Arabidopsis thaliana: one gene and its partners. The protein of the gene in region 2 interacts with the protein of the main gene of each other region in a pairwise test. Each region holds a gene or a part of one and is shown on either strand. Other genes may lie near its edges.

Region 1 (10,183 bases), on a different chromosome or scaffold from region 2:
TGACTAAACAACAAGGATAAAAAGAATCTTACCACAAATGTAATTGTCAAGCCTATCTATGCTCTTTTATCATCATAAACAACGTGGAGAACACCTCAAAAGTGATTTTCAAGAGAACAAAGAAATAAATATGCTACTGAATATGTTGAATTTATGCAGAAGCTAAATATTTTCTATGTAAATGTAATTATTTGATTTGTTTTGTCTTCTCAGAATTAACCTTTGTATGTTCTAAATGAGTTGGGCTCACAATTCACATCACATGATTGAACAATGAACATTTTTTCTCAAATATCTGAAGTTGATGACACTCCAACGCATGTGGCCCTGTTTATTTTTTTTCCTAAGAGATTCAAATGTATTTTTTTTCCTGTGATACTCATCAAAATTAAATTCCTTCTTTTAAAGTTTCCAACAACATATTAGTCTCTTTTAGTTCTAAATCTAAATACCAGGTTAATTCCTGTGCTTTTTCCTCTTCTTTGGTGGGTCAAGTTCTGTTCTTTCCCCTTCAACCATTTTTTTATTTATAAATATCCAATTTTTATGAAGATATTTTATAAGTAATTTCAACTTACGAAATAGAGTGTAAAATCATACCTTGTGTAATTTTTTTTTTTTTAAAACATCACATTATGCCTTGTCCCTTTTGCAAGGTAAAATACAAAAGGGCTATTTCAAGCTATTTTCTTCTTTCACAAAAGAAAATTAGAATTAATAGAAAAATATTATTTTTTTGTAAAAAAATTAATAGAAAAATATAGTAATTTGGGTCCTTTAAGTTTCAGATACAGTGAAACTAAATAACTAATAAACAACTAATATAAATACAAAGATACATAGATCTGTGTCTGTGATTATTCAATTTCTTCTGCTTGTTCGTATCTCCCTTGTTTGCTTAAAGCGTTATTGAGCGAGCTATTTTTTCAAATCTTTGCTAATTTTCTACAAACGATTGATTTTTCCGTCTGGGTTTTATAAAAGGTTTGGGTTTCAGAGAAATTCACGGAACAAGGCACAGACTTTTTCTTCTGGGTGGGCACCGACTAAAAAAGGAGCTCTTTCTCCAATTCTGGGTTTGAAATTTCTGTGTGTGTGTGTGTGAAGCAGTGAAGCAGGAGGTGGCAGAAGCATGGTTCCCACAAGGAACAGGCCAATGCTACGAATTCTAGGTTTTTTTATATGTGCAGCTTTCATCTATCTATCATTTCGAGATTTGTGGTTGAATCACAAAGGGAAAGCAAAGTTAGGGTTTGTGAAAAGGAACGGAACTCAGTTTGTGGTGGATGATAAGCCTCTTTATGTAAATGGGTGGAACTCGTATTGGTTCATGGACCATGCGGTTGATGAACATAGCAGAAACCTTGTCGGTGAAATGCTTGAAGCTGGAGCTAAAATGGGTCTCACTGTTTGTAGAACTTGGGCTTTCAATGACGGTGGCTACAATGCTCTTCAGATCTCTCCTGGCCGATTCGATGAGCGAGTCTTTCAGGTTTTGATGATTCTTCCTCTTTTTTATAATTTCAGTTATGTGGTGATCTCTCTCTGTCCTTGTTTAATGGGATTTGTATAATGTTGGTTAGGCTTTGGATCATGTAATTGCAGAAGCGAGAAAGCATGATGTTAGATTGTTGCTTAGCTTAGTGAACAACTTGCAAGCTTATGGAGGGAAGACTCAGTATGTGAAATGGGCATGGCAAGAAGGTGTTGGTCTTAGTTCTTCCAATGATTCCTTCTTCTTTGATCCATCTATCCGCAATTACTTCAAGAATTATCTCAAGGTAATGGTCTCTTGCTGATTATGATTGAACATTTTAATCATTGAGTGATAGTGAGAGGAAGTTTAATGAGTAAAGATTGAATGATTATTTCCTAATTCGCAGGTTCTGCTCACCAGGAAGAACTCTGTAACGGGAATAGAGTACAGAAACGATCCTACGATTTTCGCTTGGGAGTTGATAAACGAGCCTCGATGCACGACTGATGTCTCTGGCAAAACTCTCCAAGTGAGTATTCCATTTCACTTGCCACTTGGAATCGTTCAGATTGTTTCTTATTCAGCAAATATATTTATGTATTTCTTTGCTGGATCACAGGATTGGATAGACGAAATGACGGGATTCATTAAGTCAATCGATGACAAGCATCTCCTCACAGTAGGTCTGGAAGGCTTCTATGGTCCTAATAGCCCGAAAGGGCTCACAGTTAATCCAGAACAGTGGGCATCCCAGCTCGGAACAGACTTTGTTCAAAACTCTAACTCCTCAAACATAGATTTTGCATCCGTTCATATCTACCCTGATCACTGGTAAGTGAGCTGGATCAGAGAATCAAGATATAATTGCATTGAGCTCTTCAGGTGCAGGTTTCTCACTTGTTTTATTCTGCTACAAATGTATATATGGGCAGGTTTCATAATCAGACATTTGAAGAGAAGCTAAAGTTTGTGGTGAAATGGATGCAATCTCACATAGAAGATGGATTGAAAGAACTAAAGAAGCCAGTTCTCTTCACAGAGTTTGGCCTATCAAACCAGAACAAGGACTACGAACCATCGCAGCGAGATAAGTTCTACAGAATCATCTTCGACGTGGTTTACAAATCAGCCAAAAGAAAGAAGTCAGGTGCAGGCACATTAGTGTGGCAGCTATTCATGGAAGGCATGGAAACATTCAACGATGACTTTGGGATTGTTCCACATGAACAAGATTCCATTTACAAATTGATGATAGAACAATCTTGCAGATTGGGTAAAGTCACAGGACGTCTTAAGGAACAAAAGTTGAAAGAACTTTGTTCTCACAGACATTGAGAGAATCACATGTAAACTGTCTTTTTTCTCTACAGTGAAATCTGATTCTCATTTTTGTTGTATACAAGAATCAACTCAGTGAGTAAAAATATCTTGATGCATTCAAGTTCATTGGTCAGAGTTCATAGATAAATCCATATTTATAAGCACAAATACAAAAAAACAAACTAAGTACTCAACAATTCTAAACCCTAAGAGAAATTATTGAAGAGACTAAATATGAAAACTAATTAGAGCTACGCTTAGCCAGTCTTGGAGATGACCTCGTTGAACTTGTCTTGTTAACTTTTACGATCTTCTTCTTCTCAATCAATCTCTTCTTCTCCACAAACTCAGATTTAATCGATTTCTTGTTAGCTTCAACAAGTTTAGTCTTGCTTTCTTCAGCGACTCTATCAAAATCATCAGAGAGTTTTCTCCTGATTCTAACCACACCTTCATCTTCAGATCCGACTTCCTCATCATCAGAATCGTTCAGATCTAAGTACCTCCTTCGTTTCACCACAATCGGAGCAGAAGGAGGAGACTCAGAACCAGATCTCTTCTTCTTCCTTCCAGATTCGAGTTTCACAGGGGTGGATTTCTCAAGCTGTGCACGGAGCTTGTTGACGTTTCCTTCGATCCGGCCTTGGAGACGGAGACGCGTGAAGTTGAGACCACCCATTGACCAGTGAGCGTCTCTCGCCCATGAGAGAAGAGGATCTAGCACAGAGAGGGGAGGATCAACACGGTAATCATTGAACTTAGGATTATCGAAGAAACGAGGACGAGGAAGCCCGTTTCCGTAGAACGACACCGGTCTAATGGCGATACTTTTCTTCACTGGCGTCATCATTATGTTAATTTTAAACGAGATTGAAAAAAGAGGATGATGAATGAGAGATTGAGATTGAGATAGAGGATTAGGGCTGTTTATGTAGAAGGAGATTGTGGCGGTATGTTTATTGGCGCGAGACTCTAACCGCGCTGCTTGAAATAAAATCTTTGGCGCCTCTTCTATTTTCCTTTCCCGCAGTTTTTTTTTTCTATTTGTTTTTTGGTTTTAAGGATTTACGCAAATCTATTTTTGACATTTTTTTTTCCATTTTTCTTATTTTTCCAATTTTTCTAAATACACAAATTTCATGATTTGAAAGGTTTTTTGGTATAGGAACTAATTTCCATTTAATATTAAAAGCTTGTTATTCAGGTTATTAATTTTCACAATCTATATAAAACAAAAGTGAAGTAAAGAAAGCAGCAAATCATTGATAAGAGATTTTGGGTTCAAGAAAAACATTGAAAGTAACACATACACAAATAATAAGGCTTTTTAAAGAAATATAAATTGAGTCTTATAACAATACACAACAGACCCAATCTATTGGGCCCAATAAAACTAGGGCCTCTATAGAGTAACGCAAAGAGGAGGAGGAAGAGGAAGCACAGTTTTATTTTGAAAGATACACAAGTAGAGGGGAGCCATGGCATCACCATCCTCTGGGAGGTCCTCCTGAGGACTGCCCACTCAATCTGTCGAGGAGGGTGTTGAAGTCGATGGGTTGGCCACTCTCTTCCATCCGCTGAATAACAGCCATGACATGGTCTCCTCTGAAACCCATGCTCACTAGCTTCTCTATCAGTTCACCGTATTTTGATCTCAACACAGGTGGTGCACCAATGTTACCGCCACCTGCCTGGTGCGGCTGGGGAGAGTATCCACCACCTTGTGGACCTTGCAAGTAATGGGCTTGCTGCTGCTGCTGCTGCGGCTGAGGTGGTGGGTATTGCATTCGCCCACCTTCATACATGGCATTGGCATACCCGGAAGGAGGAGGAGGTCCTGAGGGTAGATACCCATCGCCAGTCTGGGGGCTGTAAGACATCTTTGTCTGCTGAGGAGGAGCCTGTGGTGGTGGTGCAGCACCGTATCCGTAAGCTTGCATAGACTGTTGAGGAGGTCCAGAGTATGGTGATTGCATCTGCATGCTGCTTGGCAACGATTCTACTGGCGGTTGGTTGCCTGGTGGTGCAGGCGAGTATGTTGGGTAGCCTCCACTTGACTGTGGCCTGGCTTGTGGTTGGGGTGGCCAGTTTTGCTGGTACTGCGGGAATGACTGAGTTTGGGCTGAGCTTGGGTGAGATGGAGCAGGAGGTGGGGGCATGAACTGACTCTGCGCTGGTGGTGCTTGAAGTTGTGATGGTGGAGTAGAAACGGGCACCGGTGCAGGTGTGTTTTGAAGCTGTGTAGGAGGAGGAGGCATGTAATACTGATGTTGTTGTGGCTGTGGCTGCGGCTGCACCTGTGGCTGTGGGGCTATTTGGTGAGGCAAAGCAAGTGCAAGCTGCTGGTTGTGTGCATCAGAGGTGTTCTCGCTCTTCTTAGGCTCTGGAACAGGAGTGGCGACACGGTCCTCACCATGTTGAGAGTGAGACGACGAAGATGACTCTTTCTGCACAAGTTGTAGCTTCGCTAGCTCTTTCTGAGTATCTGCTAGCTCTTGTTTGTCTCTAAGAATCTGGACAGACCTATGCACCTACAACAGAACATCCATGGTCAATTACTGATCAGAGTTTTACAAACTAAAATTAACAAAAAGGATTAAAAACATTGCATAACAATAACAAACCTCTTGAAGATGTTTGTCGAGAGATCTAAGCTTCACATCGGCATCCTCATGTGCATGAGTCAACTCCGATCTCATTTCTCCAATGGTCTTATCAAGGTTGTAGCAGTAGAGTTCAAGCTGAGACAAGCGTGAACTGAGGCCTTCAAGAAAGCGCATCATGTTATCAGCATACATCTTCATGGTCCTTTCGACAGTGTCAGTAATGTCTTGGCTCAAAGAATCCTCTGGTGGACTGTAAGAGCTTGTAGGGAAAACCGAAGACCTTGCCATCCTTGTTTTATGGAATTCCTACAAGCAAAAAAATGAAACAATAAACAAAGACTCGCTCAGTATATCTGATCAAAAGTGGATGAAATTTTCTTCCAATTGAAAATAAGGAGGACAAGCACAGCTTAACAAGCTCTAGTTCCAAGTCAGATTCATAGCTAAGGCGTTTCCACAGAACATAGCTCCTCATAAGTCACAACCAACATAGAAATAACTAGCTAAATTAGCTCAACACTAAGAGGACTAGTTCGATATTGACTCCTCGAAATTGTTTTTACACGTATCTCTGAGCAAACCACAAATCAAAACTCTAGATTCCCAAAAATCAAACAAAAATCGCCGATCGAGCAAAATACCCGAACCTAAAAAAAGGAAGAAAAGGGTAAATCAGTGTGGTTAACCTTGTTGGAGTTGGAAGCAGCGATCGCAGGATCGGAGTGAGGACCATTAGAGGAGTCTTGGTTGGTGTAGTCATCATAAGAGCAAAGGATATCATCGGAGCCAAAATCGAAACCTTTGGATCCTGAGTTGACCCGACCCGAAGATCCAGACGCCATTGAATCCGAAGACTGAAAACCAGATTGAGAAAAAAGAATCGAAAGAAGGAAATCTCGCTTTTTAGATTAAGTCTTGGGAAAAAAGCAAAAGCGTGGTTCTTCGTTTTCTTCGAACCTTTGAGAAAACGCAAGCAAAGAGAGAAGCAAGCAGGAAAAAAACGTTTGTTTTCTCTTTATTATATTTTTGCTTTTTAATTTGTTTATTACAATTGAGGTTTTTTAGTTCAGACTTGTGATAAGGATGAAAGAAGGAGGAAACAGCCAAACTCTTGTTTTTCTATTAAATATTTGTAATTTCGTCCCTAAATATATTGATTACTTGTGAATTTGTCCCGTTTATTTGTTTTCAATTATTTGCAACCTAAAAAATAGAACGACGTCGTTCGTTCACTTCGTTTCATTGGAATTTTTTTTTATTGAGGATTGAGGTAACGAAGGGGGAAACCCAAAGTTTCGATCTTTTTGCTAGGCTAGATATCTTATATTCTTATTATCTATAAAGAAGACTGTTTTGATGTTTTTATGGGTGCCATTTGAGCTCTGTTGGCATTGGCATAAAACTGAGAGATATAGACTCGTTTTGGTGCTCTTTGAATCCATAGTTCCGATGTGTGCCAAATGCATTGTGGAGGAAACCAGGTTCTCAACGCTGATATTGTTTCTTCCCTAAGGTGTTTTCTTAAGATACGAGGGATCTCAAGTTAGTAAATTGTTCTTCTTGAGGAGTGAGTGATATGTGAGTTCTTGAGAAATTGGAAGGGCTTTGATCTTGGTCTTGTGTTATAATCCAACCATCTTACTGCTGCTAGTTTTTGGGATCTGTAGTCACATTGGTCAGCTAAACTTGTATGAAGAACATATTGTAGTTGTCAGCATGTACCAGAAACATGAACCGGTTATATATAAAAATTATTTGGAAGTTACATCAAGAGTACGACTGTACGAGTGTTTTTTTTGGTAACTTGTTGATATATGATGTATGATATCATAGCCTCTGCATGTTTGCTTAGAGATAGTTGGTACACGTTCTTGTAATGAAACCAGTTCACAAGAATGACCGATTGACCGGTTGTGTTGGGTTACTTACATTGAGTTGTTTCATCTTCTCCTGTCCACAATCACTGTGGTTGTTAATTGTTTTACACATGTAAGAGTAAAATAAGTTGTGGGCTTGTTGGTCTTGCGGCATGATCAATAATTCACGTTAAGATACGGATATGGACCGAATAAGTTTTGGCCGGTGAAAAAGTAGAGATATGTGGACATGATTATGAGATTGCGCAAACGATAAAGTCCTTCAAAAGTAATTTTAATTATTAAGAACCCATCCCTAAAGAGATATAGCCGCAAACTTTTTTCTTTCATTTGTATCCATACATCTTTAATCAAAACTTTATTAATCATATCATTATGATCCTATACGTCACCATAAGATGCTTTTGTACGATCATGTGTTAATAACTTATTCTACTACTCTGTTTTTTTCATAAATAGTGACCGGACGTAAAATATATAGAGACGAGTATTAAAACTTAACGAGATTGTGATGTCTTTATCAAAGAATAAATGTGTTCAACATTAAATTTGACGCAGAGAAATCTCACCAGAAAACCATATGGGACTTGTTAGGTTTGGTATCCACAAATCAGTTTACATCAATTTGCATTTGAGATATGCTCTCAAAGACAAATAATCAGATCCACTTGTTCAATGCCATTGTTCACCCGTCATTTAGTGTTTCGACCTTATCTTATGAACATTTCTTTTCTTGAACCTTATCTTATGAGCATACAATACCAACAGTAATAAACGAGAAATAAGAGGGGCATAATCGTCCAATACAAAGCTGACTTTTAACATTCTCAAAACACCAACTCATAGTTGCAACATTGTCCGGACACGTGGGTTACTTACCAACCAACGATGGACCCATTTTCATTTAACAGATCAACCAATCATGTTTCTCTTTGTGTGGTTCTGACTTCAAGGCTCAAAGTACATTTCTTTTTTTCTAATGCTTTGACCATACTAACCCCCTTATTTTTCACGCTACCCATTCTTACTCCAATTAAATTCTTCTAGAAGATAAATCATTCTATTCAAAAACGTTTACCAATGATCTTAGCTGTAATTAACGCAATTAAATCATGCTTAAGGTATTTAGAAAAGGGTAAAACGGTAACATACTTTATCGATACATAAATTGGTCAACTAGCGTAATTTAACTTTTGTCCCCATTGCGTATATAAACCGTCGACTATCGAAGCCAACACCTCAATTTTTCCCACATTTTTCTCTCATCTGCCTACGGTTGCAGATTTTATTTTATTAACACAGAAAAACAAAAAAAAGTATAAACAGAGTCCACGAATTTGGGAAAGTTTAAGATCAAGACATGAAGAAAACTGGAATCATCGCAGCCTCCATCTCTGTCGCGGCTTCTGCCACGGCGATCTCCGCCGGCTCTACCAACACCTCCGTGTCATTCTCTTCGCCGGAATCTAATCTCTCTCGTCAGGTAAAAAAAGAAGAATCAAGCTCTTGTTTATTTGTTTCTCGGTAGCATTTAAAGTTCCTCCTCTGTTTCAAGTACTCACAATAAGTTTCTCATAGTCAAAAATTTATCAAATTACAAAGTTGGAGAGTTTTTAACTTTTACATGGATTCGGATGTGTAAAGAATAATTTTTAGCTGCTGATTGTGGTTAGGAGGCAAAGGAAAAACAGAGGAAGAAGAAGGGTTCGTCGGAAGATGGGGGAGATGAGAAGTTTGCTCCAAGGTTTGATGGGTTACGATTCATCGAGACGCTTGTTACTGCTCACCGATAACATTTGCATTGTTCTGATTTGTAAGGGTTCTTATTGTTTACCCCATTTGATTAACTACAAAGATTTACTGATTTTAAGTTTCGTTTTTTTTCTTTCTTTCACATCACTATTGTAACTTCGGCTTAAAGTGTACCACCAAGACAAGAGGCATGATTTATGAGGTTCATGTTTCTTCTATTTGGTTTACCAAACATGTCTTCATAAATAAACTAGTGACTCTATATGGCCTAAGAGATTAGCTCAGCCCATTAATGACCAAACACACATGTTCTTGATCCACAAAACATGTTAGGAATGCTAGTGTTATGATGTGTACCAAACACACATGTTCTAGAATTATTATTCATTGCCTAGGATTGGAACTCGGAACTTAGTCATGCAATCCCTTGAGTTCCTTAAGGTCGACTGGTAGAGTTATCGACACCGGGCATAACGAATGATGTTAATGAGAGTGCAAACAAAAATCAAACATTTACATCTATGCTCACAAAGCAACTAACAATGGAATGCAATATATAACTCATATTGTAACATTTACAAGTCTTTAGAAGAGGTGAAACAAGATGGAAACGGTGATTAGCAAAACGTGTGTGGAAACAAGAGGGATCGATGCATGGGAAGATGATGTAGGGGTGACGTCGGTGCAATCGAGACCTTCTTTGCCTTCTTTGCACATGTTAGCGAATATTCCAGGAGGATAACGACCGTAGAGATTGATGTAGCTAAACATTGTGGAGGCACAATCTGTCTTTTCATCGTTAAGAACTTCCGCGAATGGGCAAGCAAAGTCCTTGAAGGCCGAACAACATACTTTGGCCGGGTAATTTGGTCCTTTGCATTTACTCGTTATGATTGTGTAATTCTTTGCCGCAAAATCTTCTTTGCATGCTGTTAAAATGTCATTAACGTAATGATCATGGAATATTTTGCTTATTAAGCTAATAATCATCAATGAAGCTTGTTTCTAAAACACATGATTACAATCAATGGTGTAAATTTTGGGAGTTATATTACTTACTTGCCTTTGCCTGAAGAAGAGCTCGGCTTGTGGATGGGTGTGACTCAAATTCATCAACTGCACATAGAAATGTCATAAATTATTTCAAAGAA
Region 2 (10,985 bases):
GTGAAAATTATGAGAATTTGGGGGAAACTGTTTTCGCCTTCTTTATTTTTTATTTTAAAGGATATTAAATGTAATGGGCTCGAAAGTAGTGTCCAACGACCATAAGCCAACATTATTGTACATTCTTAATTTCATTTAAACCTTTGTCTCTCTTTCTTTTCAATCTTGTTTGAATGGTTATCGCAGTCGAGGTGGACAAATCCGTTTGCGATTAGTCCGTTTCATCTACAAGATGGACAACAAACCGCTACAAATCAATTATATTTGTATGTAAAAACAATCCATTGTTAGTTTACAATGATTTTTTAGGTAAATGAAAAACGTTTTAATCCGTATACGGATTTGTTCGCTTCAACCATTATATTCATTTGCATGAAGACTGAACCGCACTGTGTGATATAATTTTAATAGTAAAACAAATATTTATTACTATTAGAATCTCATCGCACTTTATCATAAGAACATTTAACATAAATATTTTATAAATATGATTATATTCAATCACATGATTAAAAAAAACCAGTTTTTAGTAAAATCTTTTCATCATTTGCCGATAACGTTTAACAAACTATCATGTACTATTTTTTTTTTTTTTTTTTTTTTTGCTGAATTAGATTTTAACAAGACATGCTATTGAAAAGACCCTTTTTATATAAAACTCTCTGCAACTTTCTGATCTTTTAACTAAATTCTGCAAATTCTTCTGTAGTGATAATTTTACCGAACGCCAGAAAAATCCAAAAGCAACAACTGTAAAATTACACTAATCATCCTCTCTCACACAACAACACTACGCAGATCCAGAGATCGCTGATCCTTCACACGCAAGCTAATGAAGCCTCTCACTAATGGCGATCTGTTCAAATCCCCAACTCTGATCAAGATCTCCGCCTTAGTTTTCGTCACCGTCGCTTTCTTCTACTTAGGCAAGCATTGGTCCGACGATGGCTACCAACAGCTCGTCTTCTTCTCCTCTTCCACTTCCGGTAGCTCGATCCCGGAGGTCTCCGTTTCACCGAATAGTAACAGAGTCTTTAATTTATCAGCGATAATTCCTACTAACCATACCCAGATTGAAATCCCCGCCACAATACGACAACAACCTCCGTCGGTGGTGGCGGACACGGAGAAGGTTAAGGTGGAAGCTAATCCTCCTCCTCCTCCACCTCCTTCTCCTTCACCTCCTCCTCCGCCTGGTCCGGTTAAGAGCTTTGGGATAGTTGATGCGAACGGTGTGATGTCTGACGATTTTGAGGTGGGTGAGGTTGAGAGTGATACAGTGGAAGATTGGGGGAATCAGACTGAGATCGTTGAGGCGAAAAGCGACGGTGATTCTAAGGCTAGGGTTAGAATTAAGAAATTTGGGATGTGTCCTGAGAGTATGAGAGAGTATATACCTTGTTTGGATAATACTGATGTGATAAAGAAGCTTAAATCGACAGAGCGAGGTGAGAGATTCGAGCGTCATTGTCCTGAGAAAGGTAAAGGCTTGAATTGCTTAGTTCCACCTCCTAAAGGTTACCGTCAGCCGATTCCATGGCCTAAAAGCCGTGACGAGGTACTCCTTTGTTTGCATGAGTTTTGCATTTTGGTTGGATAACATGTCTTGGGATTTAGTTTAAGTAGTATTTGGAATTTACTTATGGATAGGTATGGTTTAGCAATGTTCCTCATACTCGGCTTGTTGAAGACAAAGGAGGTCAGAACTGGATTTCACGAGACAAGAACAAGTTCAAGTTTCCTGGAGGTGGTACACAGTTTATTCATGGGGCTGATCAGTACTTGGACCAGATGTCTAAGGTGGCTCATTTTTCCAAGTAGTAGTTCTTGTTTTTCGCGTCAACTGTTTATGTATCTTTTCATCTGATGTTGAGCTCTGGAGTTTGTGTCTGCAGATGGTTTCTGATATTACGTTTGGCAAGCATATTAGGGTTGCTATGGATGTTGGTTGTGGTGTGGCGAGTTTTGGTGCTTATCTATTGTCTCGTGATGTCATGACAATGTCTGTTGCACCAAAAGATGTCCATGAGAACCAAATTCAATTTGCTCTTGAGCGTGGTGTGCCTGCTATGGCGGCAGCATTTGCGACAAGGCGTTTGTTATATCCAAGCCAAGCTTTTGATCTTATTCATTGTTCAAGATGTAGAATCAACTGGACTCGTGATGGTAAGGTTCTATGGTGTGCTTGATTCTTCACCTAATACATCAGAAAAAGATTAAGATTGCACCTACTGTAATTTTTAACTCCCTGTGTGAACTATGCTCTAGCTTTTATTACTTGTACAGAAAATTCTCACTCTGCTGTTTCATTCTTTGTGATAAAGATGGAATTTTGCTCCTTGAGATCAATAGAATGCTGCGCGCTGGAGGATATTTTGCTTGGGCTGCACAGCCTGTTTATAAGCATGAACCCGCTTTGGAAGAACAATGGACAGGTAACATCCTTTTAATCTGCTTTGAGTAGGCCTGTAATTCAGGGTTGATAAAATTCTTTGGTCTTAATAAACTTTTTGGAGTTAGTAATCATTGTACGTGGCTTTATTATTTACTACAGTTTGTCTCTGTGGGTTTAAGGAGAGTTTTTTTTTTTCTTTATTACTACTTTGATTCAGCCAATATGTGTACTCTTTTAATCTCACATTTTGTTTTCCAGAAATGCTGAATCTTACTATTAGCCTCTGCTGGAAATTGGTAAAGAAGGAAGGATACGTTGCAATCTGGCAGAAGCCTTTCAACAACGACTGCTATTTGAGTCGTGAGGCTGGGACTAAACCTCCTCTTTGTGATGAATCAGATGATCCCGATAATGTTTGGTACAGCTGCTAATCTTTCTGTTTTTCTTTGTTTGTGATACAAGGCCATATCTTGCTACCTGCATGTGGAAGCATAACAACAGAAGAATAAAGGCTACATGTTCTTAAAATGCTGTCAGAGTTGCATCAGAACTTTTTTTCAATTTGATTTGTTTTGATTGCATCTAGTCTGTCTGTTAACTTGTCTGTGACAATGTGTGCAAAATATCACATTTTTTATGCCTCATGTTGATTTATTGTTGTTTTAGGTACACAAATCTGAAACCTTGCATCAGTCGCATACCTGAGAAAGGGTACGGAGGAAACGTCCCCTTATGGCCTGCCCGTCTGCATACTCCACCTGATAGGCTGCAGACGATAAAATTTGATTCCTACATTGCTAGGAAAGAGCTATTCAAGGCAGAATCAAAATATTGGAATGAAATAATTGGGGGCTATGTTCGCGCCTTAAAATGGAAAAAGATGAAACTAAGAAATGTTTTGGACATGAGAGCAGGCTTTGGCGGGTATGAAATAATATTTCTTTGTTAGGTATTATACAGGTATCTTAGCTTATCTCTCTTCATTTATTCCTTTGGCTTTGGCAGATTTGCAGCTGCACTAAATGATCATAAACTCGATTGCTGGGTTCTAAGCGTGGTTCCTGTCAGTGGGCCTAACACATTGCCTGTCATTTATGACCGTGGACTGTTAGGAGTGATGCACGATTGGTACTGTTTTCTCCTTAGAATCTGTCATATGAAATCAGAATTTGGAATCCTATAGTTGAAACCTTGGAAATTAGTGATTCATCTTGTCCTTTTCTCTGTTCATGTTTTTTAAACACAAAAGTTCATCTGTTTATGTGTCTTAAGGTAAACTAAGATTTAGTCTCTGGCTCTGGATATTTTTTTAATAAGTGATGCATTCTACCTCAGGTGTGAACCATTTGATACATACCCACGGACATATGACTTCTTACATGCCTCTGGACTCTTCTCGATCGAGAGAAAAAGGTAAGCATCATTATCTGTAACTCAAGTTCAAAGTGATTTATAAATTTTTAATCTATGATCGTGTGGTGCCTATAGTTGAGTTTAACCATTTGTCTTGTCTGAATATTATCAGATGTGAGATGTCAACCATATTGTTAGAGATGGACCGGATATTAAGACCCGGTGGAAGAGCATACATTAGGGATTCAATTGATGTTATGGATGAAATTCAAGAAATCACAAAGGCCATGGGTTGGCATACTTCTCTGCGTGACACATCCGAGGGTCCTCACGCAAGTTACAGGATTCTAACATGCGAGAAGCGTCTCCTTCGAGCTTAATACCACACAAGTTACTGCACTAGTCAACACAATATATTTTGTTTGGTAGTATATCTCTTATTGTTTTCTTCTTTTTTCTCTTAATGTAACTGTAAATTTGATTGTGGTGTTTTACTGAGTAAAAGTTTACCTCGTCCTCATTTTTTAGTAACAACATTCTGCTATTGCAAATCTGTTGATTGTAACGAATGGATCCATAGAAAAAAAGCCCCAAGGTCAGAATACAAAATCATCCAAAATATGTGAAGGAGTATCTCTGAACCATGTCTGCACACCTCATTCTACTGCTCATGTCTCGGTCTCCAGATCTGTCCGCCTTGGCTTGGAATTTTTGATGGAGGCCTTGCGGAGTTCACACCATTCGTATATGCAGGTCTTGCAGAGTTCACACCATTCATATGACCAGATGGCTTACCAATGTGGCCCTGATTCTGACTTGAACCAGCAGATGTATTTTTCAATGGTCGGTTCCCACTCTTATATGGGCTCTTCTGCTGCGTTTGAGTTTGTGTGATTACAGGCCAAGTTTGGCCTTGGACAGGTGGTTGCCCCTGAAGATTCCTGGGGTTGTTCTGAGTCCAATTCTGTTGTGGTCGGGATTGTGTTAGTGGTGGCCAATGTGGTGGATTCGGGGTATTGTAGCTCTGTGACCAATTTTGCTGCATTTGCTGGTTCTGTGGCCTAGCCTGACCATGCAGATTACGGACATTGTGCATACCGTTTGCATGATGTTGACTTGGGAGGCTTATTGTTCTGTACAAAGACTCTTGAATGTGTTGCCCTGTCAGAATCCCTATGATGGAGTTTCTGTTACACTCTGAGACAAGACGGCGCGATGTAATCTGAAATACTTGAGCTATTCTGTCCAAATTTCTACGGCTCACACTCCTTGCAGCGTTCACCGGCTGCTCAAAAGGATCTTCAACCTGAAACACACACCATTCCCACATGTTAGCCGGGAGACTCACATGGTGCCATAGAGATGAATATAACTCAACAAGAGGTTAAGAGAAAGAAAGAGAAAGAGACTAACAAAGAGTGAGTATGTCTTTGGCAGCCATGTAGTGTTGCTGCTTATAGTTTCCCATCTTCCAGTAAACGGGCAAACACCGAACTCTTGGGCCTTCACGTTTATGTCTGAAAACTGATAGATACAGCCACACAGCAAAATCAAGATACTAATTTCTATCAAGAGCACTTTAGTGGATATTATTAAGGGAAAAAAATTAAAGCTAGAATGTATGAGAAATCAATCACCTTTGCAAAAAAAGAGACCAACAGCTCCGAGAGCGAGCTTCGATTGACTGATTTTGCTCTCTCTGATTTAAATCTCGCAATATTAGCAGCAGTAACTTGCGCTATGCTTTCCTCTGCAGTTTTCCGTACACCTACAAGACACCATACCGCTAAAACTTTTGTCCCTTTACCCCAAAAACACATATATTTTGTGTGGTTTGGCTTCAAAACCTTTTCATTGAGCGTACCTGTCAGATCATCAACCGCACTCTTCGGATATATCACTCTTAGAGGCGGCAAGATTGCAGGCACACAAGTCTGCAACAAACAACATAGAACATCTTACTATGGTTTCTAATGATGCAGTAACTGCAGAAGGCTGAAGGCAGCAAAATCTATGAATACAGAACAGCTATCTTACCTGAAAATGGAAGATGACTAACAAACTGAGAGAGTAAGAGTTGAAAGTCCCGGTCTTTGAGTCGTTGATATTATGAGCTTTCGCCCATTCCTTCACCTACAAATGTAGAATACACGAGGTAGATACGTTTAGAATCAATTAAACCTTTGGAAACACACAATATGGTTTTATTTGCATGTTAACTTACTAGCAAAACCAGGTCGCGGAATCTCCCATCTATTTCACTGATCCAGAACAAGAACCTGCTCTTCAAAAGCCCATCCAGGTTATCAATAGAAATGTCACAAGAAATTCTCTGGTGGCCGCTCACTACTTTCAGAATAGGAACTCGCGCATGAATAACAAATTGCAGTTTGTACCATAGACCTGTTTTTTGAATGATAATGGATGTGAGACAAATCGGCACATGAAATAATACTTAAACTACTTAAGTAGTATATAAGGTAAACAACAGTGAAGCAAAGAGAAAACCAAAAAAAGAAGAAAAAAATAGAAGCTAAATGAATCACCACTCGCTCTCAGTGCTCGTAGTAAATGTCCGAGTAAAGTTTGTTTCTGCTTCTTTCCAGTGAACAAGATGGAAGAACCGCTGAATAAGTCAACAGAGATATCTAAGTCTCCCCATCGTGTGAAGAGATTTGACACAAAGGATCCAAATGGTTGAACAGTAGCACCTAACAATCACAGAACCAGACAACGAGCGGCTATAAGCATCACATGAAATAATTTGTTTCCAGAACGAGAATAGTGCGAAAGAGTAACATGAACCACTTCTACTATTCTGCAGCTACAATTCCAGCAGATATTACCTTACTGAAAGCTCGAAGTATCTCACTTTCATATCCAATATCATAATCACATCCATGGCTGGTATGGTTCAAGGCAGTACTAGACAGTAAGAAAAATGGGAGAAGCACAAAAGTGCATCAAGAGTCATCACCTCTTAAACATTCTACGGATTGTAAGACGTCACGCAACTGATCAATGACTGTGATCCTCGTATCCCTATCTGCTCGTGTGGGTTTAATCACTTGAAGAATTTCTTGAAGAGTAGGATCCAGGAAAGGGTTTCTACTCATCGTCTTGCTCCCTCTACAATAACACCAAACACACATTGCCAAGTTATCTCAAAGAAAACATCATGCAACAATAACACAAGGACTTCACAAGCTCCAATCAAAGTAAATTCTTGAGATTAAAGGTTCAGTTTTTCTGATATCTTGCTCACTTACTACTCCAAAGGAACAACCTTTGTCACTAAAAGCAAGATTCTTCATTCTCTAGACCCAGTGGCCCACATTTTAGTATCATCAAAACTGTGAAAACTCTACCCAAAACCTTACAAAATTCCTAATAAAAAGAATCAGTGAGTACTGGGTTTTCACATCCACTGGACTTACAAAAGGATGATTCGAAGGAGATGAAGAAACCTTTAGCCCAAGAACCCAGAATCTAATTCCAATCTAGGGTTTTTCTCTCCCAAATCAGTAATCCGTACCGAATCACCCAACTTGAGAATGCTCGGAGATAATTTTAGCGCTCGCAGGCGAAGACAATGAAAAGTCTTTGGAAGGTTTACTTTATTTTATTCAATGCGACGAAGGAAACACTTCTTTATTTCATTTTATTTAATGAATGATGTGACCATCTTTTTTAGGAACCAATAACATTATTACAAAATATACTATAGAAAATTGTTGGATTTTTAAAATCAATGCTAAATTAAAGGGTATATATTCAATCAAATATTTTGAGATAATTTATTTTACATATTAAAAAAATTGCATGTTATTTGATCATAGATTTTACAAAGTCATATTAAATATGATGTTAATGGTTAGTATTTGTAAATATCTCTTAAACCCTAGTTATTAAACTGATGAATTTTCTTTACATCTATTTTTATTAGAAACATTTTAGACAATGTTTATTTATGATTTTGATGTGGTTGCATACTTGCATGCACATGGAAAATTATCCTTTTGACAAAAACTAGTTGGCTTTCTTCTTTTTGTTCAATCTTTTATCCTCCTCTACACATTGTCTCATATTTTATTGCAATGGTAACCTCAACTCTTTTTACAGTTAAACCTCCATAAATTAATACTCGATAAATTAGTAACCTCTATAAATTAATAAATTCACCAGATCCCAAGTTAGGACCAATGTAAAAAGTGTAACACATCGATAAATTAATAAGATAATAACTTTTTTGAAAGTCCTATGTAAATATATAGTCTCATCAATATCATAAATTAATAATTGCATAAATGTATCAACTATATATATACATTATATGTAAGAAATGTTTTTGATTTTTTTTTACTTAAATTTGTAGTTATTCTTATTTGAAATTTAGTTCTAATGTGTTACTGTATCAAAAAAAATTTGGTATTGTTTTCTAGACATGATATAATTTTGTACTTGTAATTGATTTTAGAAAGATATTTTCTATAATGAAAAAAATCTTATAAAACTTTTTAAAAAGTTACCAAATTAGGAAAATTTCTCTATAATTAAAAAATATTAATTTATCGATAAATTAAAACCTTTTTAAATTAATAAAATTTTGCAGTCCCAACATTATTAATTTATAAAGGTTTTACTGTACTTCATTTTCTAACCTCAGTATGTTAAAAGTCATGTATGTGTACTAAGAATCAAACCTGGCACGCAAACTTTTGCTAATTTTGTCACATACAGTTAACATTTAGCATTGTGCGAGTAGCTCCACCACATTATTATCAATCGTTTGGTTCTTCAACATGTCTTATATATGGATCAATAATAGTTTAATATCATATCAGTAATCTTTGTTCTCTTGTCTTGCATGTAGAACATGTACATATTGCTTCGTCGGCAGCGAATGAAGCCTAAAATTAAAATTTGGTTTTGTCCATTGATGATATGATGGCTCGTTCCACATGAGAGAATGGTTGAGAAAACTGAAAATAATGAAGAGGATGAGAAATTATAATGATCAGACAAGTGAAGTGTTTCATTTTATAGCTTAGTGTAGAAAACGATTGCTTGTGATTGTGAATATATAGTTTTAGATGAGTTGTTTTTATAGTAACTTTGAGGGAACAATAAACTATGATATAGTTATCATTTTTATTTTAAAACAAGTAAATTCATATGAATTTCTGATATATTCATATTTTCACTATGAATTTAAACACTATAATCTTATTTCATATTTTAGCATATGATATTTTGCATGATGCTATCTTAGCCTCGACTATCTTTACTTCATCTTCTAAACTATATATTTATCAAATCTTACGTATGCATTGCATCACTTGTTTTTACATTTTGTGTAAAGAAAAAGTTGCATTAATTAGTTTTTAGCGGTTTAGTACAATATGGTTAATTTGATAACCACATACTTGATACCTGTTGTATCTAGAGTTGTATATAACAAAATTAGAATTATATTCTATTGGCTAAGCCAATTTCTCTCCACCAATCAGTTTACATCGGTTATTTGGAACATTATTATCGATAAGCAATGTCATTATCCAAAATTTTGGAATGTTATCGTATGAAGAAGAGTGTAGAAGTATCTTGATCACATATGAATGGCTTACCTCAATCCTCAAAAAAAAAAAAAAAAACAATGATTTTCCAAAGCATATGTGGTAATAAATAATGTTATAATCTTCACTTGAAAAAAAAAACAAATCCATTGGCACAGATTAGCCATTTGACGACAACCTCATAAACATATTCCACGTGGACCAATCAAAATAGAATCCTCCTAATCATCTTCCTCGTGGCAACTTGGCCAATCCGCATCGTGTGGCGATCAGAGAGTTAAGCCTTGAAGACGAAGAGATAACGAATTGGTTGTTGATCACTCGCTTTATAAATCTCTCAGTTTCTTGCTCACACCAACATCTCTCTAAGCTTCTTCTTCTACCAATCTAATTCCTCTCTTCAGCTTCTTGTGTTGTGACGCATACTCGTCGCAGTCTTGAGATATGGCCGCCGCAGTTTCCACCGTCGGTGCCATCAACAGAGCTCCGGTACACTTCAATCTCCATTAGTGGTTTAATGTTACTTTTAACATAATCTTAACGCTTTGTGCTTATCCACCACTTGAATAGCTTTGGTTTTTACAAATATAGCTCAAGAATTTGATCGTTTGAATCACTTTGAGATTCTCTGACAGAACAGAAGAATCAGGACTTTAACTAGGAAATCTAAAGATACTTTGATGCTTCTTTTATTCTCTACTTGTGAACTATAGATTTAGTAGATGTGTTTAAATCGATGTATAGTAATTGAACTGAAACTGTAGAGACTACTACTACTCTTTAGTCTTCAGGACTAGTCTATACCTTGAGCTATGTGAACCAAATTAAAGTTTATTCCCCGGTTTGGTTCGGTTCAGTTCCTGATTGAGCGCCTTTTATCCTTAGGAATAGTCTCTAAACCGGTTCTTGAACCATATAAACCAAACTTGAATTCATGATTGGTGATTGAACTGTTTTTGTGTGTGTGTTGCAGTTGAGCTTGAACGGGTCAGGATCAGGAGCTGTATCAGCCCCAGCTTCAACCTTCTTGGGAAAGAAAGTTGTAACTGTGTCGAGATTCGCACAGAGCAACAAGAAGAGCAACGGATCATTCAAGGTGTTGGCTGTGAAAGAAGACAAACAAACCGATGGAGACAGATGGAGAGGTCTTGCCTACGACACTTCTGATGATCAACAAGACATCACCAGAGGCAAGGGTATGGTTGACTCTGTCTTCCAAGCTCCTATGGGAACCGGAACTCACCACGCTGTCCTTAGCTCATACGAATACGTTAGCCAAGGCCTTAGGCAGTAAGTTCTCATCTCTCTAGATCTCTCATTAGTTCCATAAAGATTTTGGAGTCTTTGGTTTTAAAAATTGTCTTTACTTCTTGAAATATAGGTACAACTTGGACAACATGATGGATGGGTTTTACATTGCTCCTGCTTTCATGGACAAGCTTGTTGTTCACATCACCAAGAACTTCTTGACTCTGCCTAACATCAAGGTATAATTTAAAGTTTTTCTTTTGAGTATTTTTTGGTGCAATCTTGACTTATTACACAACTTTATTGATCTTTAAATGCCTGTTTTTTTTGTCTCATAGGTTCCACTTATTTTGGGTATATGGGGAGGCAAAGGTCAAGGTAAATCCTTCCAGTGTGAGCTTGTCATGGCCAAG
Region 3 (11,037 bases), about 15 Mb from region 2:
AAGGAGAAATCGGTTTGAGTTCAGTAGAAGATTGAAGAGACTCTCTTGGTATTAGAGGGTTTGACTTGGACTCTGTTATAAATAGTCTTCTTCTTCCTTTGTTCGTTGTAACAGAAAATTCTTATCTCAATTCTTCTCCTTTGTAACACGATCTTGAGCTCTGGGTTTTGAGCTTGAGTAAATATTGATTCATAGTGGATTGCTGGATTGAATCCAGCCCCAGACGTAGGATCATCACACCGGTGATCTGAACTGGGTAAACAATCGTGTGTTCGTTTCGTTCTTTGTTTGATTATGTTCTTGATCGATCTATTAAGTGTTCCGCGAATTGAAGCTTGATCGAGTTGTGTTGTGATTGAATCGAGTTGTGTTGAATCGATCTTTAAGTTATCGGATTGTAACAGTTTGGTTATGATTCAGTCTTCTTGGATTCACTAACTGAAAGATAAATGTTTATAATGTGAGTAGTTTACAAATTACTTACGAAGTACGTGACTTATGTATCTTTAAAATCGGGTTACTCAAGTGCAAACTTTTTTTTCTACTATAATGTTTTGTAACAAATTACTTGATTATGATTTTGCATTACACTGTTTTGCATTCAATATTTGTGTAAGGATTTAAAAAATATAGCTGACTTTTGTATACTATCTCTCATTTCTTTAATCCATCTCTATTATCCGTCTATACATGTTTCTCTTTTGAAGGTAGGTGACTACGGGCTACAACAATTACGACAAAAGGGAGACAAATAATTCAAAAACGTTATTCAAACGTTTAAGCACTAAATGTCACTGAAAAGACGATGCTATCAAGTATATGGAGTTTCCATGGAGATGGCTTCATAACAAAGACGACATACTGAAAGATAAACTGACAACAACAAAAGAATTTGAAGATGATCCATTTGTATATGGCTCTAGGTAGTGACTTTGTGTTAATAGTTCATGTTTAATCTCTTACATCTTCGTCTTTAAAGTTATTTTTCTCCGTACGGGTCTAATACTAGTAGTCAATGATTCCGAGTTACTATCCAAAATTTGGCAAAAGAAATTTGTTGAGGCAATGTGATGACAATGGCTATGATGTCTGCTTTAGTTTCTAAAATATGTGAAAGTTGCAATTAGGTCTGGGCGTTCGGATATTCAGGTCGGGTTTGGGTCGGGTATTTTGGATTTGGGTATTTCGGATTTAGAAATCTAAGATCCGTTTGGGTATTTTAAGACTTCGGGTTCGGATTCGGGTTTATCCGCAGTATCCAAAACTCAAAACTTTTATATCAAAATATGTTAAAATTACTTGAAACTACACAAAAATTTATAAAAAAACTTGATTATTTTCTATCTGAATTTATCTAAAAGTAGGTAAAATACCTAAAAATATACAAAATAACTTAAAATCCAAATATTTTAGGCATTTAAGTTGTTGTATATATGATTATTATTGATAAATTATTTGTATATATATATATATATATATATATATATATTTCGGATATATTCGGGTACTTGATGGGGTTCAGGTACGGATCGGGTTTTCGGGTTTTGAAGTTTAAGATCCATTCGGGTATTTTAAAATTTCGGGTTCGGATTCGAATCGGATTTTTTGGGTCGGGTTTGGTTTGATTTTTCAGGTTCGGGTATTTTGCCCAGGCCTAGTTGCAATTGAGAATTCAAGTTCTAGATTAGTTTGAGGTTTTGTGATTGTTAAATACAGGACATGATGTGGAGTATAGACTATTGTGGGATCATAACTTTTTTTGAGGAATGTCTCATGTTGTGTGCTTGTCATCTCTCTTTTATTAGGTGTTTTTTTTTTTTTTTTCCCCTTCTCTTTAGCTCTGAATCTCAGGCTTTCCTGTGATAAATGGCAATTTGAAATTGTTTTGTATGCCCTTATATGCCCAGGTTATACGTTTCGACCTCTGGCTTCGCAAACAATTGATGTCTCTATTATACCATAGACTCATTACGCTTGTGGATGTTTCAGATTATAAACTTGTTGGGTTTGGTTTCCTTGTTTTAACATATATAACTGGATGTTTTGCCTATACTATTTATACTGTTGGAAATGTAAGTGAGTTCCTTTAGCAAAGAACAACATACAATTATTAGACTAATTAGACTTGACATGTTTCGTAAAAGCGTTTCTTTGCTTTTTTTTGTCGGCAAGCGCGTAGCATTTTATGCTGTGTTTGGGTTGTTTTGAAAAAGAAAAGAATTTTGTTCAAAAAAAGAAAAAATAAAGAATTTTAAAAACAATTCCAAACTTATTTAACGAAAAAGCTTTCAAACTATTTTATTAGATAAAAAAATTTTCAATTTTATATTGAACTTACTATTTTATCTCCGTTGTTAGTCAATAATTTTAACTCGTTATTATTGCTTTAAAAGGAAAATAAAATGACTTAATCAACATAAAATTGGAAATTTATTTTATCTAATGGAATAGTTAAAGTTTTTTTAGTCAAAAAGAAGTAAATTATATATTTTTATGACATTTTCTTATTAAAATTATATGAGAGATGTTAGGTGTAAATGGTTTGATGTTTATGGCATAATGAAATAAAATGTTATAGAAGCAAGTTTAACGACTACTCTAACAACTTTTGATTTAGTCCATGGACTTATGTTTTTCAAAAATTTAAAACTATTGTGTTTATGGTGTTTATGGTGTTTCGACCATTGCATTCAAATCAAGTGAGAGTAAACAAATTGTTTCTCTGTTTCCAGATATGAAAGACACTGACATGAGCAATGAAATCAATGTTATAGAAGCAAGTTTAACGACTACTCTAGCAACCTTTGATTTACTTCATGGATTTATGTTTCTCAAAAGTTTGAAACTATTGTGTTTCATTATCGATGTTTTAGGTTGATATCGGGTCTTTCTAGTGTCTCGACCATTGCATTCACGTCATAAGTAATAGATTATAGTTCGAAATGCTAATTTGACTGGCCAAAAATCTAGAGAACTGAAATTATTATGAATATTATGGTAAAGAGTGTAGGGTTAAAAAATTTTGATCCAAGAAATATGTACAAAGAGTAAAGACAAGCGAAAACACTTTCGGCTAAACAAAACAATACTATACAATTCTTTCTACTCGAGACATTTTTTTCTGATCTGTTCTTAAATTTTGGAGAAGAAGAAATGAGGTTTAAAAAGACATCTTAACTGCGTTCCCAAAGTAAGATGTTTGGACTAGCAGTTAGTTTTGGAATAGGCACAGCCACAAAGCGTGCCACTAGATCCCTAACAACTTACATTTACATTGGCAAAAAACCCAACTATGCAATTGTTACATACTTTCCAACATCCAATCACACGATAGTGACATAAAAAAAGTATCAGTTTATAATTATTTAGAACTGTGAACAAAATGAGAAATGTATAATTATTAGAAAATAGAAAAAAACAAATATTAATAATTTTTTTAATAAGTGTGAAAATTCTTAAATGAATCTTCATGAGTCATAACCTCATAGGTTAACTGGATGGTGTTTACAAATATTATTATTTTGTTAACAATTATTAAAGTTGAATTTTTCTATAACTTTATGAAACTATTATTTTAACCCATATTCATATATTACACTATTAACAAATTATTATTATGATACTAGATAAAGCCCGCCTAAATAGGCGGGTGTAAAATGTAACTGTAATTTTTTATCTATAATATTTAAATTTTGAATAATAAAATAATAATCTATACATTGTTCTTGATATATAATTTTGAATAGTAAAATAGTAGTCTTATGCATTTTATTTTATTATACCCATTCAATCTTATTGATGATATTTGAAGTCTAAATAGTAACCTACACACTTTTTTTATATTATAATTTAGTATTTAGAAGAAAAGAATAAATTTTTATCTTACATATTCAATTTTGTAATACAATTTAACTATCTATTTCATAAAAAACTCGATTTTAATTCTACACACTTCATCTTACTTGATAATGATTTCATGTCAAAATAATATATATATGAGATCAAATCTATATCTTAGTTAATATTAAAAATTATTAACAATTAACAAAACATAATTAATAATAATAAAAAATTTGTTAATACCATACATATTAAAATTTTGACCAATAACATATATAAATATTTTTGGTTAATTTTCCTTTTGGTTAAGAAAAATAAAATGTAATATATTTTACATATATATAAATATATGAATTAGTATATGTTAATAATGATTTATTTTTTAGTTTTCTATTTCTTTAAGAAGAAAAAATTTAATTGATTTCTTTTTTAGTATTTCTATTTCTTTAAAAAGAAAAAAGTTAATTATTTTTTTATATGTGTCAACATCCGATCGATAGACTTGACACATGACATAATCTTATGAGTTAGTAATTTTTAAAACCATACTTTATATAATAAAATTATTATGGCATATATCAGAGTCGAGATAACCACTATTAACAAATTAGCACCGTTTACTTTCACTCCAAAATTATTTTACTTAACAAAAAAAAAAACAAATTTTTATTTTAGCTTCCATTTTTTTTTTCCCCGAAATTCTCGACGGTGTTTTCCGGCGATTCATTCTCGATGCCTGAATCGCCGATTACCTGAATTCACTGAAACCCTAAAACCCTAAAGTTACTGTAGTTATTAAAGCTGTGTTCTTGATTCCAAATCTTTGCCTAAAGATTCGTGCTTTTTGTTTACTTCCGATTTGATCTACTCAATCTCTGGAGGAAGAAGAAGTTTCAGAGATCTATTTTTGAAGCTGTGTTTGTAATTTTCCCCAATTTATCAGTAAGATCGCTAACTTCGATTCTCAGTTTATTTCATTTATTGAAATTTTAGGTTTTTGGTTTTTGTCATTGTTGTTTATTGAAGAAATTAGTAAACTTTGAGTTGGGATTTAAAGTTTAATCCTTTTGAGTTGGGTTTTGTCTTATGAAGTTGATAGCTTGAATCTGACTTTTTGGTGAAATTTGTTCAAAATGGAGATAAAATTAAGCTACTTTTTGACTATCTAAATCTAGTTTTGTATAATTCTCTATGTCTTTGTGATATAAAGTTAGCGATTTTGTCAAAAAAAAATCTGAACTTGGAGATTCTAGATCTCGAATCTTAGGATGGTTGTTGTAAGTTAGTAAGTATGGGTTTGTTTGAGTATGTGTGGTTGGTTAGGTATTGGTTTGCATTTGTAGTGACTCAAAAAGAATTAATGTTGTTCTTGTGAATGTTTGTTTGCAGATAATGATGATCTTTTGGTGCTTGAATATGGAATGCTTGCGGGAACGGTGTTAGTTTCCTTTTGTAGAGCTGTCATATATTGTGTTGGTTTCTTTCTACATGGAAGCTTACAGAGAGGAAGCTCTCAGAGTGAAACAGATCGCTGAGAGGAGATTTGCGGAGAAAGATTTCACAAGCGCTAGGAGTTATGCGTTGAAAGCGAAGTCTTTGTTTCCTGATTTGGAAGGTTTATCTCAGATGGTTGCGACGTTTGAAGTTTATTTAGCTTCTCAGACTCGAAGCGGTGGTCAGATTGATTATTACGCGGTACTTGGACTGAAACCGTCTGCGGGGAAAAGAGAAGTGAAGAAACAGTATAAGAAGATGGCTGTATTGCTTCATCCTGATAAGAACAAATGCATTGGAGCTGATGGTGCATTTCATCTCATATCTGAAGCTTGGAGTTTCTTGTCTAATGAGTTTAATAAAAGCACTTTTTATTACAAAAGAAAGAAGCATATTGACTCCACTGAGGTTCAGAAGCATAGCACAGAGTACATGCCTGGGACTGGGACTGGGACGGGGACTGCAGTATTTGATCGGTTTCCACCATCTTCAGAAAGGCTTGATACTTTCTGGACTGTATGCACCTCTTGCAAAGTTCAGTATGAGTATCTGAGGAAGTATGTGAATAAGAGGCTTTCATGTAAGAACTGTCGTGGAGCATTTATTGCTGTAGAAACTGGTCCAGCTCCTGTTAGTGCACCATTTCATTACACGCCTCCATCCCATGCGCCTCCCTCTCATGCGCCTCCATCTCATGCGCCTCCGAGTAATGGCTATGGTGCACATGGTTATGATGCTATGTCACGCATGCCCACCAATTCCACGTATTTCTTAGGCCACTATCCTGGGCAAGGACATGGATATGATTATAGTACGAATGGTTCATATGAATGGAGCTCGTACTCTGGAACAACAACCTCCCCAGGGAATCTGGATTTGAAGCGTGTGTCCTCAGTGTCTAATGGGTATCCTTATAAGCACAGCAACTCAGTAGTCAGCGGGGGAATAAATAAAGTCAAAGATGGTTCTAATGGGACATGCTCGAAGAAAAGCACACCAGGTGGTCTGATATATCCTAATCAGATCAGCATGTCTGCTCACGCGAGTGCAAATAAGGTCGGCAGACCTGGGAAGAAAAGCAAAGTTTTTATGGAAGCTGCTGCTAATGGATTTGTTGAGAACCCTCTGAGATCTGTTTCAGTATCAAAGACAGCGAATACAGATGCCAAAATGGATCAGGATTACAAACTTCATATCCAAAGTTCAACTAGACGTTGGTCTGCTGCATCAGTATTGGATACACGGAAGCCCTTAATTCAAAAGGCCAGAACAGATATCAAGCAAAGATTGGAGATGATGAGATTGGCTTTAGAGGCAGCAGCGGCTGCAGAGGATGCAACACCCCTTGATGAAAAAACTGTTCTCTCCTGTAAGTTGGGAGATGTTACAGGGCGCAAAACTAACGGGCCAATAACAGTTCCAGACTCTGATTTCCATGACTTTGATAAAAACAGATCGGAGGAATCCTTTGAGCCAAGGCAAATATGGGCAATTTATGATGAAGATGATGGTATGCCACGCCTATATTGTGTGGTGAGGGAAGTACTCTCAGTTCAACCCTTTAAGATTGACATTGCCTACTTAAGCTCTAAAACCGACATCGAGTTTGGGTCAATGAAATGGGTACAATATGGGTTTACAAAGTCGTGTGGACATTTCAGGATACGAAACTCTGACATAGTAGACCATGTTAACATCTTTTCGCATCTTTTAAAAGGCAAGAAGACAGGGAGAGGTGGTTGTGTTCGAATCTTCCCCACAGCTGGGGAGATTTGGGCCGTCTACAAGAACTGGTCACTGAACTGGGACGGATCAACACCGGACGAAGTGAGGCACCAATATGAAATGGTCGAGATTCTTGATGAGTATACTGAACAGTATGGTGTGTGCGTTACCCCTCTTGTTAAATTAGAGGGCTACAAAACCGTGTATCACAGGAGCACAAGGGAGGACAGTAAGAAGTGGATACCAAGGTGTGAAATGTTGCGGTTTTCACATCAAGTGCCGTCTTGGTTTCTTAAAGATGCAACCAGCGGCTTTCCCGAAAACTGTTGGGACTTAGATCCAGCTGCAATCCCCGAGGAGCTGCTTCACATCGGAGCAGGAACCAATTGATTTCAGTGACCCTGTAAGAGAAAGATGGTTTCACTTTTCAGATTGAGACCAAGTGTAAGAGTTGTTGTATCAGCGAAGATTGTGGAGTTTTATGAAGGACTATTAACACGCAAAAACCATACTGTTTGGTTCAGTGAAGCTGTTGTATTAGGCAAATGTTCAACGAGTAAGCAAAGCATAGTTTGACTTTTGTTTACTCTGTTTCTTCTTTTCTTTTTCTTTTTCGATTATGTATTCGTTTCTTTGTTGACCTTAGTGATGACAGAATTTTTACAAGTAGAGTTATAAATGTAGCAATTATCTTTCCATTTCTTGCTGCCTTTTATTTAGTAATTGAATTTACAAGTTAGTGAAACCATTAACTAAAATGTTAATAAAATTAATTTTTATTCAAAATTATAAAATTAAAATTATATTATTAAAAAAATAATAGTTAATTGAGATGGTAAGGGTAAATTTGGAATTTTATTTTTGTTATGAGATCGTGAGTATTAAAATAGCAATAATTAATTGTTTGTGTATTAAATTGCACGGTTTTATTACTTCGTGTATTTACCTTCCAACAAAAAACAATTGGGTCTTAAACGTCCAAATAAAATTTAGTTGAGGTTTTTTTTTGGTTTTTTCCCTTTTATTTAGTAATTGAATTTTCAAGTTAGTGAAACATTCCACGGGTCGAAACCATTTTAAAACTTTGAACAAGGTATAGTTGTTCCACAATGAAAATGTGTATATTACCTGCTGCTTCTACTAACTCTTTAGTCCAAGGTCTAGAGGAAGATATTTTTGTGTTCAGTCTTTGGATTTGGTTAATATCATGAAGTTGTTCTTTTGGTTACAAGGTCTTCATGAACTAAACAACACAACTACCATACTTAAGTAAGCCACATCCAACATTCTTAACATGAGTTTCTTTTGGTTAATTGTTTCTCTGAGTTTAATCAATTTATACTTTCATGGTCTTGGTTTGCTTGTTGATTCTGTTGTTTTTGGTCTTCTGCTTGATGGTTAGATCTATTTGTATCGTGATTATGTGTTTGTAAGGAAGATCACTTTGGGGAAGTTTTCTTAAACTCTTGAGTGCGATAATCTTTGAGTTACTATCCAAAATTTGGCAAAACAAATTTGTTGAGGCAATGTGATGACAATGGCTATGATATCTGCTTTAGTTTCTAAAATATGTGAAAGTTGCAATTAGGTTTGGGCGTTCAGATATTCGGGTCGGGTTTTTCGGATTTAGAAATCTAAGACCCGTTCGGGTATTTTAAGACTTCGGGTTCGGATCGGGTTTTTTGGGTTCGGATTCGGGTTTATCAGGAGTATCCAAAACTCAAAACTTTTATATCAAAATAGGTTAAAATTACTTGAAACTATTCAAAAATTTATAAAAACTTGATTATTTTCTATCCGAATTTATCTAAAAGTAGGTAAAATACCTAAAAATATACAAAATAACTTAAAATCCAAATATTTTAGGCATTTAAGTTGTTGTAGACTTGTAGATATGATTATTATTGATAAATTATTTGTTATATATATATTTTGGATATGTTCGGGTACTTGATCGGGTTCAGGTTCGGATCTGGTTTTTGGGTTTTGAAGTTTAGGATCCATTCGGGTATTTTAAAATTTTGGGTTCGGATTCGAATCGGATTTTTTGGGTCGGGTTTGGTTTGATTCTTCAGGTTCGGGTATTTTGCCCAGGCCTAGTTGCAATTGAGAATTCAAGTTCTAGATTAGTTTGAGGTTTTGTGATTGTTAAATACAGGACATGATGTGGAGTATAGACTATTGTGGGATCATAACTTTTTTTGAGGAATGTCTCATGTTGTGTGCTTGTCATCTCTCTTTTATTAGGTGGTTTTTTTTTTTTTTTCCCCTTCTCTTTAGCTCTGAATCTCAGGCTTTCCTGTGATAAATGACAATTTGAAATTGTTTTGTATGCCCTTATATGCCCAGGTTATACGTTTCGACCTCTGGCTTTGCAAACAATTGATGTCTCTATTATACCATCGACTCATTACGCTTGTGTGGATGTTTCAGATTATAAACTTGTTGGGTTTGGTTTCCTTGTTTTAACATATATAACTGGATGTTTTGCCTATACTATTTATACTGTTGGAAATGTAAGTGAGTTCCTTTAGCAAAGAACAAGATACACTTATTAATGTACTATACAAGAAGTAAATTAGATACTTGATTCAGTGACTACTCTCTTCAGAAATTTTGTTTACTCTAGAATGTTTAGTTCTAGATACTTGATTCAATACTACTTCCTTCGGATATGTCTCGATAATGTTTTTAATGGCTTTAATTTCATAAAATATTTTCTCTCTTTATATGTCATTGCTAAATAACAGAATTAAAACAATAAATATATGATGTTCTAATCTTTCATCAATTTATAGCATCATCTATTGAGAAGTGGACAAAAACTGAATCAAAACCCTGATCGCAAATAATTGTCAATCGATCAGTGATATGGTGTTGTGAAGAAGCTGGGTTCAGATTGAATCGGAATGTGATTGACAAAAAAAAAAAAACTGAATCCAAATTTGTTTTTTTTCTCAACGTTGGTAACAGTAAAAACTGTTAATAGTGTTTGGGCTGGAAAAAATTAAGTGGGCTTCGGTTTTAGATTTGGGCTTCAATAACAGTATGCTTTAAACAAAAGAGGTAAATGTAATGGGCTTTGTTAATTACCAAGTTTCTAACAAAATTATTAATGTTACAAACATATATTGTTTTTAGAAATTTGTGACAAACACATTTACTAATTTCAATTTCAATTTTATGATACATCATTAGAATTTCATAATTGTTATTTTAATTACCTGCTGTCCAAATTAATATACATTCTTGAGATATCCACATTGCATTGCATAAATAAAATAAATACAAGTACTAAATCTAAATATCATTATGAAAATAAAGTGTCACATACTTATACCCACCACAGAAGATATAGTTTTTATATAAGAAAAAAAAACATCAACAACCATTCAAAATCATATGCTTACAGAAATATACATATTATATCGCCTAATTCCATAAATCCGTAGAATAACCAATGTTATCGTTACCTTAAATACGTGTTCTTTAATTATACACACAACCGAATATATAATTGAGCAGTAGGAAAAAAATACAATAACCATACTGAACATAAACTATATTGTCAAAACACAAAACATCAACATTAAAAAAAAAAATTATCCAGCAGTATACCGTGGATCATATCCTAGTATTGAATACATGAGTACAACTACAGAAAATAACTTTTATTTTGTTCCTATATATTAATTAAATTAAGCAAACGTTTTGTTAATTATGCTCAAACGTTTTGACATTCATTTATTAATTATATGTAATCAGATTAATCAAATATGATTAAGTTTTTAATAACTCTTTTGCATTTTATTTTGTTCATTGATAAAATAGTAAAACATTAAGTTTCAAAATTAAACCCTATACCTTAAACTTTCTTAAAACATATTTATTTATTTATCATTTAATAAAATAAATCGAAAACAAATAATCAAAAATTGAACCATATACCCTAAAAATCATATAGGCCTGGATTTCCGG

The links.
Region 1: the proteins of HESO1 (region 2) and AT4G28300 interact in a two-hybrid assay, tested with the Arabidopsis thaliana proteins (one large-scale study listed by BioGRID).
Region 3: the proteins of HESO1 (region 2) and AT2G05230 interact in a two-hybrid assay, tested with the Arabidopsis thaliana proteins (one large-scale study listed by BioGRID).

What each region holds. Positions count from the first base shown.
Region 1 is NC_003075.7:14,010,922-14,021,104, reverse strand, and holds AT4G28300 (formin-like protein (DUF1421)), read right to left. Parts: upstream 6,460-10,183; 5' UTR 6,246-6,459; coding exon 6,090-6,245; exon of another isoform or gene 5,710-6,089; coding exon 5,422-5,709; intron 5,329-5,421; coding exon 4,282-5,328; 3' UTR 4,008-4,281; downstream 1-4,007. Other genes in the region: MAN5 (Glycosyl hydrolase superfamily protein), read left to right, coding at 1,133-1,492, 1,584-1,781, 1,884-2,006, 2,097-2,308, 2,410-2,812; AT4G28310 (microtubule-associated protein), read right to left, coding at 3,039-3,647; AT4G28290 (uncharacterized protein), read left to right, coding at 8,641-8,763, 8,954-9,073; LLG3 (LORELEI-LIKE-GPI ANCHORED PROTEIN 3), read right to left, coding at 9,618-9,961, 10,092-10,148.
Region 2 is NC_003071.7:16,572,129-16,583,113, reverse strand, and holds HESO1 (Nucleotidyltransferase family protein), read right to left. Parts: upstream 7,363-10,985; 5' UTR 7,014-7,362; intron 6,878-7,013; 5' UTR 6,865-6,877; coding exon 6,726-6,864; intron 6,460-6,725; coding exon 6,295-6,459; intron 6,152-6,294; coding exon 5,973-6,151; intron 5,882-5,972; coding exon 5,786-5,881; intron 5,683-5,785; coding exon 5,613-5,682; intron 5,517-5,612; coding exon 5,386-5,516; intron 5,273-5,385; coding exon 5,162-5,272; intron 5,055-5,161; coding exon 4,410-5,054; 3' UTR 4,129-4,409; downstream 1-4,128. Other genes in the region: AT2G39750 (S-adenosyl-L-methionine-dependent methyltransferases superfamily protein), read left to right, coding at 833-1,558, 1,651-1,800, 1,896-2,166, 2,325-2,435, 2,654-2,813, 3,062-3,319, 3,401-3,523, 3,731-3,808 and 1 more; RCA (rubisco activase), read left to right, coding at 9,769-9,813, 10,298-10,614, 10,706-10,811, 10,911-10,985. UniProt on the Arabidopsis thaliana protein: Uridylates small RNAs to trigger their degradation. Catalyzes the uridylation of 5' fragments produced by AGO1-mediated cleavage of miRNA target RNAs. Acts synergistically with URT1 in unmethylated miRNA uridylation, leading to their degradation.
Region 3 is NC_003071.7:1,896,230-1,907,266, reverse strand, and holds AT2G05230 (DNAJ heat shock N-terminal domain-containing protein), read left to right. Parts: upstream 1-4,441; 5' UTR 4,442-4,782; intron 4,783-5,229; 5' UTR 5,230-5,328; coding exon 5,329-7,449; 3' UTR 7,450-7,799; downstream 7,800-11,037.